Kluyveromyces lactis: one gene and its partners. The protein of the gene in region 1 interacts with the protein of each later gene in a pairwise test. Links are inferred from orthologs where the notes say so. Each region holds a gene or a part of one and is shown in the gene's direction. Other genes may lie near its edges.

The links.
Region 2: the proteins of NCS6 (region 1) and NCS2 interact in binary tests that used the Saccharomyces cerevisiae proteins (3 or more experiments, as listed by UniProt). The link is inferred for Kluyveromyces lactis from reciprocal best matches to the Saccharomyces cerevisiae genes NCS6 and NCS2.
Region 3: the proteins of NCS6 (region 1) and URM1 interact in binary tests that used the Saccharomyces cerevisiae proteins (3 or more experiments, as listed by UniProt). The link is inferred for Kluyveromyces lactis from reciprocal best matches to the Saccharomyces cerevisiae genes NCS6 and URM1.

The regions. Positions count from the first base shown.
Region 1 is NC_006038.1:57,594-60,548, reverse strand, and holds NCS6 (Ncs6p), read left to right. Parts: upstream 1-1,339; coding exon 1,340-2,455; downstream 2,456-2,955. Other genes in the region: KLLA0_B00759g (kinesin family protein), read right to left, coding at 1-584; ZRG8 (Zrg8p), read left to right, coding at 2,715-2,955. UniProt on the Saccharomyces cerevisiae protein: Plays a central role in 2-thiolation of mcm(5)S(2)U at tRNA wobble positions of tRNA(Lys), tRNA(Glu) and tRNA(Gln). Directly binds tRNAs and probably acts by catalyzing adenylation of tRNAs, an intermediate required for 2-thiolation.
Region 2 is NC_006042.1:2,237,222-2,240,377, reverse strand, and holds NCS2 (Ncs2p), read left to right. Parts: upstream 1-1,264; coding exon 1,265-2,656; downstream 2,657-3,156. Other genes in the region: COX23 (Cox23p), read right to left, coding at 590-958; DCP2 (decapping enzyme complex catalytic subunit), read right to left, coding at 2,763-3,156. UniProt on the Saccharomyces cerevisiae protein: Plays a central role in 2-thiolation of mcm(5)S(2)U at tRNA wobble positions of tRNA(Lys), tRNA(Glu) and tRNA(Gln). May act by forming a heterodimer with NCS6 that ligates sulfur from thiocarboxylated URM1 onto the uridine of tRNAs at wobble position.
Region 3 is NC_006040.1:1,211,633-1,213,867, reverse strand, and holds URM1 (ubiquitin-related modifier URM1), read left to right. Parts: upstream 1-1,429; coding exon 1,430-1,735; downstream 1,736-2,235. Other genes in the region: KLLA0_D14201g (2-isopropylmalate synthase), read right to left, coding at 1-541; NAS2 (Nas2p), read right to left, coding at 1,791-2,235.

The DNA.
Region 1 (2,955 bases):
AACGTAAATATGGCATGCGAGCGGCTGGATTCCATATTCATCCGAGTTGATGCAACAGATCTTTTTGAGTCACCTATAGACAAATACTCCAACACTTCTTCCACTCTGTTTACTTTGAAAGTAGTGATGTCCTGTACAAAAGTTTTCTTATCATTTGTTTCACGCACCCTCGGCGATGTATCGCCTAATAAATCTATAAGTTTCTCGTTGTAAATCTCAAAGTATGTTATTGACACGGAAGATACCGTTGTTTTATCCAGTTCTAAGGCATCAAATAAGTCACGGCAAAGTAACGGGATAATTCCTGGGTTTGAATTAGTCCCACGCATTGTGTATGTTTTACCAGATCCCGTCTGTCCATATGCAAAAATGCAAGCATTATAACCTTCCAGGGCATGCAAGACGTACTTGGAACATAACTCTCCAGGTATATCAGTCTGTGATGACGATGTATCAAATATATGATCGAAATTGAATGACCTCAGTGGTGGTTCCACAGTAGATATAGTTTGATTTTGAACCTTAAAATTCGTCTTCGTGTGTACCGGTCGTAAACGAATAACAACCTGCACATTTTCACTCATAGTGTGTTACCGTCCACTTCAGTATGGAATGTGCAACCAAATGAACATTGCCTATTCCTTTTGAGTTAACTGAGCAAGTTGCATGCCTTGTACAATACACTTTTCAGTTCTTATTCCATTTTATAGTGTTTTAAGAATTGTTTACTTTTCGAATTTAATGTGATGTGTCAAATCTTGTGTAATGTTGAAAATATACGTTGAAAGAGTACATCCAACTAAAAACCAAGCATTGACCTTGTTGTCTAAATGTTGAATTGTTTATTTTAGAAGAGTGAAAGCATTAATATAAGTACGCGTCTGAAAAATATTTGCAAGAATTGACGGTAACGATGTAAGCGACTATGTTATCTATTATGATTTTTGTACGTGAATGTACTTTCTCTTGCAAAAAAGAATAAAAGTGTAAATGGTAATTTATATCAGTAAGGTTTCAAAATTGAATTCGCTATGTTAAATGAAGGGGTTAAGTACATACAATACATAGTACCCTCAAGTGATCTTCACTTGTCGAATCTCCAGTCTTAAACCAGCGATTACGGTGTGTCACTTTCATTATATCAAAAATCGACAGTACATATTTACTGTTACCCGCAAATGTGACAGCGCTATGTAGAATTTCTTTTGAAAGATTTTATGCATCCCAATGGTCAACTTCATCGAGATGAGTAGAAGATAAGATCATTGTTTATGAAACAGCCAAAAACATCCCATTATCGTGTAACACACCGCTATACAGTCAGACAAATCAAGTCTCCATGTTTACACCACCGACTGATCCGAAGAAATCCGTCAAGGTAAAGGTCTCACAGCTCTGTGAACTATGCCATGCGAGAAAGGCAGTGATGAAAAGACCGAAGAATTTACAACGGATCTGTAAAGAGTGTTTCTTCTCTGTATTCGAGACAGAAATACATAACACCATTGTATCAAACAACCTTTTTCACCGAGGCGAACGTATTGCAGTCGGTGCTTCTGGAGGTAAAGATTCCACGGTCTTAGCATACGTTTTAAAGCTTTTGAATGATCGCCATGATTATGGAGTTGAGATTGTTCTTTTGAGTATTGATGAGGGTATTGTCGGATATAGAGACGATTCGTTAGCTACAGTGAAGAGAAATCAAGTACAGTATGACCTTCCGTTGGAAATAGTATCTTATAAAGATTTGTACAATTGGACAATGGATGAGATCGTAGCATGCGCTGGCATAAGAAACAGTTGTACCTATTGCGGAGTCTTCAGGCGACAAGCTCTAGACAGAGGAGCTGCCAAGCTAGGAATCAAACATGTAGTTACTGGTCATAATGCGGATGATATGGCGGAAACCGTCTTGATGAACATTTTACGTGGTGATGTTGCCAGGCTGGAAAAATCAACATCCATTCTTACTCAGAGTAGTGGGTCACCGATCAAGAGGTCGAAGCCGTTCAAGTATTCATACCAAAAGGAAATTGTCTTGTATGCCCACTATAAGAAATTAGACTACTTTTCAACCGAGTGTTCTTATGCCCCGGAAGCGTTTAGAGGTACCGCTAGAGAACTCATGAAGAACCTGGAAGCAATCAGACCAAGTTGCATTATCGACATCATTCACAGCGGAGAAAGCTTGAAGCTAAAACCAAAGCGCGCTAAGAAGGCACCACCACCAAGTCACATGGAAATACGGCCCGATGGCTCAGTGTCATTACAAAATGAGTTTATCGATGGAAACAGATGCGAAAGATGCGGATATCTTTCCAGTAATAAGATATGTAAAGCGTGCATGCTTTTAGAGGGATTGGAACAAAACAGAGCTAAGATCCAACTTGAAAAAGATTCAACTACTGAGGGAGCTGCAAAACTATCAAGAACTCTTGAGAAATTACAGTTCTGAACTATTAGCTGCTCATTTTAGTACTCCTTCCTGCATGTCTTTACTAAATATTACCATATTTATAATTATTTTATTTACATCTCAAAATCGTTACAGTTGCACATTTTTTTTTGATGAATGCAATTTAACTGCAGTATTTCAGATATAATAGAAGTTCTAATAATGCATGATGAACAATACAAAGACGGAAAATACACAACGGTGTAGGATAACAAAACACGATAACGGTCGTTGAGACCGCATTAACAATTTAACAACAATGAGGTCTTTTATAAAAACTCATAAAAGAGCTTCATCTTTAGATAATAGCCCCAGAAAATCTTCCAACGAAAGTCCCGAAAACAGGAGAAACTCACAAGGTTCTTTTGGGACTGAGCTATCTTATCCATCAGGGTACCCACCTAACAATGTTTTAAAGCAATCTTCAAGTTTCGAGCCGCTTCATAAACTTACTAGTAACAAAATTTTCAGTTCTAAGTTGTTTAAGAAAAGCTCCAATG
Region 2 (3,156 bases), on another chromosome or scaffold:
CCTATATCTCAATCAATGAAAATCTGCTAGATCCTATTGATGCTTACTACTGAGTGTTATTTCCTGAGGCTTTCGTTCGTCCTGTTCCATACAATAGCTCAATGTTTACAAAACTTTTTATATATCATAATTAATTTTGCACTTTTCTACTTTTTTTTTCGATTACGGAAACTTCTTACCTATGGGAATCTCTGATGCTGCTCGTAATAATCCGTATTTGTGTTTGATCGGAATGGGAAGCTGCATTTTTTTTTTTTTCGGTTTGGGATCTGGAATATTTTTTGGGTCGAAATCTTTACATGTGGGGTCCGAAACCATGTTTTGGAGGGAGCGCGAGTCGGATTCCAATAGTTAGGAGCAATGGAGAATATTCGGAAAGACGGGTAATATCAATTCCTTTATGTCACGTGATCTGTACTTTCAACTTGTGTTATTATTTTCTTTTTTTGTTTATTCAGGTTCCGTTTGTTAGCTTATGTCGTTCAATATGGGAATGGAGGATCATGCTCATTATCAATAAATAATTCATGCTATTGATTAGAAAGTTACTTCTCATTAAGTACGCTATTTACATGCAGATGTGGTTGAATTATTCCCAAAATTCTCTTTTCTCTCTTCTGGCCTTCAACCACTGCTTTTTACACTCTCTGTAAGCGTCGAAATAGTCATGGCATAGGTCTCTGTCGTAGTTGTTTAATTCAAGGCACTTGAAAGACATTTTAGATGATTCCTGGCATGGGTCGTAGTATTCAGAAGCACCTTTCACTGCAAATCTGTATCTGTTCAACGTAGATTCTGGATCATCAGGATAGAACTTGTAGGTGTTGACATCAGTCTTTTCCGGTGTAAAATTGACCTTAGTCTTATTGAGTTCGAGACTGGGGTCGACGTTCTCTGCCACCTTTTCAGGCTGTTGCAGCTTTTCAGCTGGTTGTGTTGTTTCTTGTTTATCGGTCATTTGTTGTTAGTAAGGCAGTAAGTTGCTAGCTTGAGCCTTTTTTTTATTTTCCCCTTTACCAGTAACTCATCTGCTACTAGTTCATCTGGATTCATTTTAACATTTCAATATTTTACTATGGTTTTCAGAACTCCAAAATTTCTAGATTGAAATTTCATGTTAACAACCACAGTGAAATGAAAATAAAAAAAAAAAAAAAAGAAAATCAATCTCATCTCATCTCATCTCTTAATAGTAACTAGTCACTGAATCAAATAAAAGCCTGTTAATACGTGCTTGCAAACCTTATCGCTGCGTCCAACTATCATGGTCATTTGTAAAAGGTGTAAGCTGCTGGATGCAACTCTAGTCTCGAGAAAAGAACCATTTTGTGATGAATGTTTCGTGAAATTTATTTCTTTGAAACAGAGGAAGCAGATGATGTCTGATGACTACTTCCAAGATATATTCAAAATCTCATATCCAGATAAGAAACGTGGTCAGGCAGAAGCTGATAAGCAAAATCAAGATTCCAATGTTCTCGTGCCGCTTTCTTTGGGATCCTCTTCTTTGGCAGTTTTAGATATCTTGAACGATACTTTGTTGGAGCAGAAACAAACACACCGGGGAAAAACTGGATTTCACGTAGAAGTAATCACGATTTGTGGACAGGCAGAGTTTGAAGAAGTGCGCGGTAAGATTGAACTTCTGAAATCAAAATATAAAGAAAACTCCGATAAGATTCTGTTCCATATTGTTGACAGAAATCAATTCTTTGCCGTGCCGTTTGATCTGCAAGAAATTACACTGTACATTGATAACTTCAACACTCTGGTAAGATCATCAAATAATCCAAGTACTACTGTAGAGAAAGTGCTTGCCAGCGCGCCTAACAAAACAGCGAAAGAAGATCTTTTGAACATTATTTATACCCATTTGATTAAGAAATTTGCCTTACAAAGAAATTTCAAAGCCATCTTATGGGGTCACTCGATGACAAAGTTAGCTGATGAAGTCATTAGTCTGACTGTTAAAGGACGTGGTGCAGAAATCGCAGGTTATCTTGATGATTCTTCCCTCGATAGTAAATATAATACCGCCTTCAGAAACTTTCATCCAGGCCGGGACGTTTTACTGTCAGAAATTGATGCTTACTGTCATATAAAAGGGCTTTCGCAATTCTCTCATAATTATGTTGTCCAGGACACTTTGTTTTATGACAAATTTGTGGACAAGCCTACCAAAAATGTCAAACTTATCAAAAATATGACGATGAATGAACTCGCGAGACAGTATTTTGATAACATTGAAGGTGATTACTCAAACGTGATATCTACAGTTGTTAGAACAGGTGCAAAATTATCTAACCCTGATAATGAACTAAATCAAATCATGCACTGTAGTATTTGCAATGCCATTATTTATAAGAATCCAGTAAATTGGCTTGACGGTATCACAGTTAGCAAGCCATTTGTGATTCATAATGAGGAAGAACTGACCAACTACAATGCCTGGGAGGCAGCTAATCCAGACAAAGCCGAAAAACTAAACAAAATGAGTGATACTCCTGCCAAGAATGTAGGCGTGTGTTACGGTTGTATTACCACTCTAACTGGCATGAAAGATAGAAAGTTAGAGTGGATACGAAGAGATGATAAAGCAGAACTAACAGCGGTTCTTCAAGAGTATGAAATCCCATCAGATGATTCTGAACAATAATAGATTTAGCTCTTTCAATTATACAGCTGAACTATCAAAATATTCCTTAGATGAAAAGTCTCATATATAAATATATGTAAGTGAAATTGCGAAATGCTGTAATGTCTCATCTTTTCAAGATACTCAATAATTCAGATGAAGGGTTGGAAGGAGTTTCTTGAACAGGAGCATTTGGCTTGTGTAATATATTCAAAAGTTCTTGCTGTTTAGTAAAACCTTGGTTTGGTGCAGGTTGTCCCATGTTAAGTGGCTGAGGTTGCATAGGATATCCATTAATCGGTTGCTGATATTGGAATTGCTGCTGAGGAGAGAAGCCTTGGGGAATATATGACATATTTTGGGGAGGATAACCTGGAGGTGGCATCATTTGCTGCATTTGCTGCATTTGGAAAGGCTGTTGAGGCTGTACTTGCAGAGGAGGCATCCTATTGTATTGGGTGTTGTGTGTCACAGGATCGTCCGATATTTGCGAGTTTAGGCCGGTCTTGGGATTCTTCAAT
Region 3 (2,235 bases), on another chromosome or scaffold:
GAGAAAACTCAAATGACCAATGGGTATCTTGTCTATCCGGATGGTCTTTTGTCAAGGACCTAACAAGTTTGGCACATTTCACAGCCTTTTCAATACTTTCTTCATGAGACATATTGTTGAAAACGATTTCTCTGAAACATGGTGATGTCGCGAGATAGATATGTACAATGGCTCTCTTGGCACCGACCAAAGATTCAACGGTACGTTCGATCAAGGGTTCACGACATGGAGAAAGAACTTGAATGGAAACGTCTTCTGGTACGTTTTTCACTGCATATTGAGTGAATTGGAAATCGATATTAGAAGCACTAGGGAAAGCAACTTCAATCTCTTTGAAACCCAATTCGCATAACTTATCGAGCATCAGTTTCTTCTCTTCCAAATTCATCGGGTCAGGTAAAGACTGATTCCCATCTCTTAAATCGGTAGCTAACCATCTTGGAGCCTTATTAAGGGTTTTACTAGGCCATTTCCTGTCCTGTAATTTGACGTTGCTAACGAATGGTTTATACTTCACTGAAGGATCTTTGTAGAATGGCATCTTGCTCTAATGACTCTTTACTTCTCTATGTGCCTGATGGGTTTTCCTTTTTAATTACCAACCAAATTAAGGTGGTATGAATGATTTCAAGTTTTGAATGTATGTATATATATATGAATCAATGTTAGCAACACATCATCAGCTTTTTTTTATTACTCATAATGCACTTGGCAAATCGTTGATTAACCTGATGACATTTTCTTTCCCTTTGCAGCTTGACTGACTCATTTACCCTGGTCATCCATAATCAAAGTCTAAGAAATATCAACCGGTTTGCAGGTACGCTCATCTGCAGAGGTCTGTCTGTGTTACTCAGCAATTTTCTCGATGCCTTTAAAAATTTTTCAGAGTCATCACCATAGTATGGAAGAAGGGAACGGAACGGAGCTGGAAGTGACAGAGAAATCGATGGAAGAATGGACAATTTGTTGGAGAGGGAATGCCATTTTTGTGTGAGGTGTATATCCTGCGGTTGGGTAACTAACTATACGGTATAGTTGGTACTTTAGTTTTATTTGGTATACTCGGTCCCGTGACTTCTAAAGGAAAGCTATGAATGAGCAGAAAAATGGGAAAAAATGAGAAAAAAATAAAGCACTCACGGTGGGGGTCGAACCCACAATCTTCTGATTAGAAGTCAGACGCGTTGCCATTACGCCACGCGAGCATATTAATTGTTATTGAAGAGAATTTGGGGATTGGTGTACCGATCGACCTGACAAAGTCATTTCCACCCGATTTTTTTTTTTTGTGAGTTTTCCCTCTCAGCAGAAACCAAGGACCCAAGAAATATAATGATGAGCTTTGACATGTCACTACTGAGATACTGATTAAACATCACATACAGGTCAAGGTCAAACTAGGACATATCAGATAAATTAATCCACAATGGTCAGAGTTATTATTGAATTTCTAGGTGGATTGGATGTTATTGTCAAGAAACAGAGACAATATAAAGTGGATGTTCAACTGGATGGGAAGGATGAGATCAATGTCGGAGATTTAATCCAATGGATCGTAGATAACCTTATTGAACATGAAGGTGACGTGAATGTTTTCTTAGAGAACGATAGTATCAGACCAGGAATTTTGACTTTGATCAACGATACCGATTGGGAACTTGAAGGTGAAAAAGAGTACGTATTGGAAGACGGTGACGTTGTTTCGTTCACCTCAACGCTACACGGTGGATGATCTGGAAAAACTGCCGAGATGTTGAATATATATGCATTATATGCTGTCCTCTCATTCAAATTTGTATTATCCTGCATCCTAGTAACCCTGCGCCTTGCCAGGACCTAGGTACCAACTGTATAGTAACGATATCATTATTTCTCTTTATCTTAAGTACGATCTCTTCATCTATACGAGTTTGAACAAGTTTACCGATATTGGATAGATTATTGTGGTTAAGGGCATGTACGGTGCCGAATTTAATGATAAGATCATCTGTTTGTAATCCTGCGTCATGACTTGGAGATCCTAATTTTACGTCCACCACTTTTGCAAAAGCGATCAAAGAATCTAGATTTAGATCTGAATCCTCGTTGCTATCTCCCATTTCAAGCGTCTGCATCTTTCCTACAGTTGCGTTTTGCTTATTAAGCGATTCAAATTCAAGTGGCAATAGATACTCGACTCTTTCGATGATTCGTCTCAAATCGTTTCTCAATACGTTTACGTTACGTTTAATT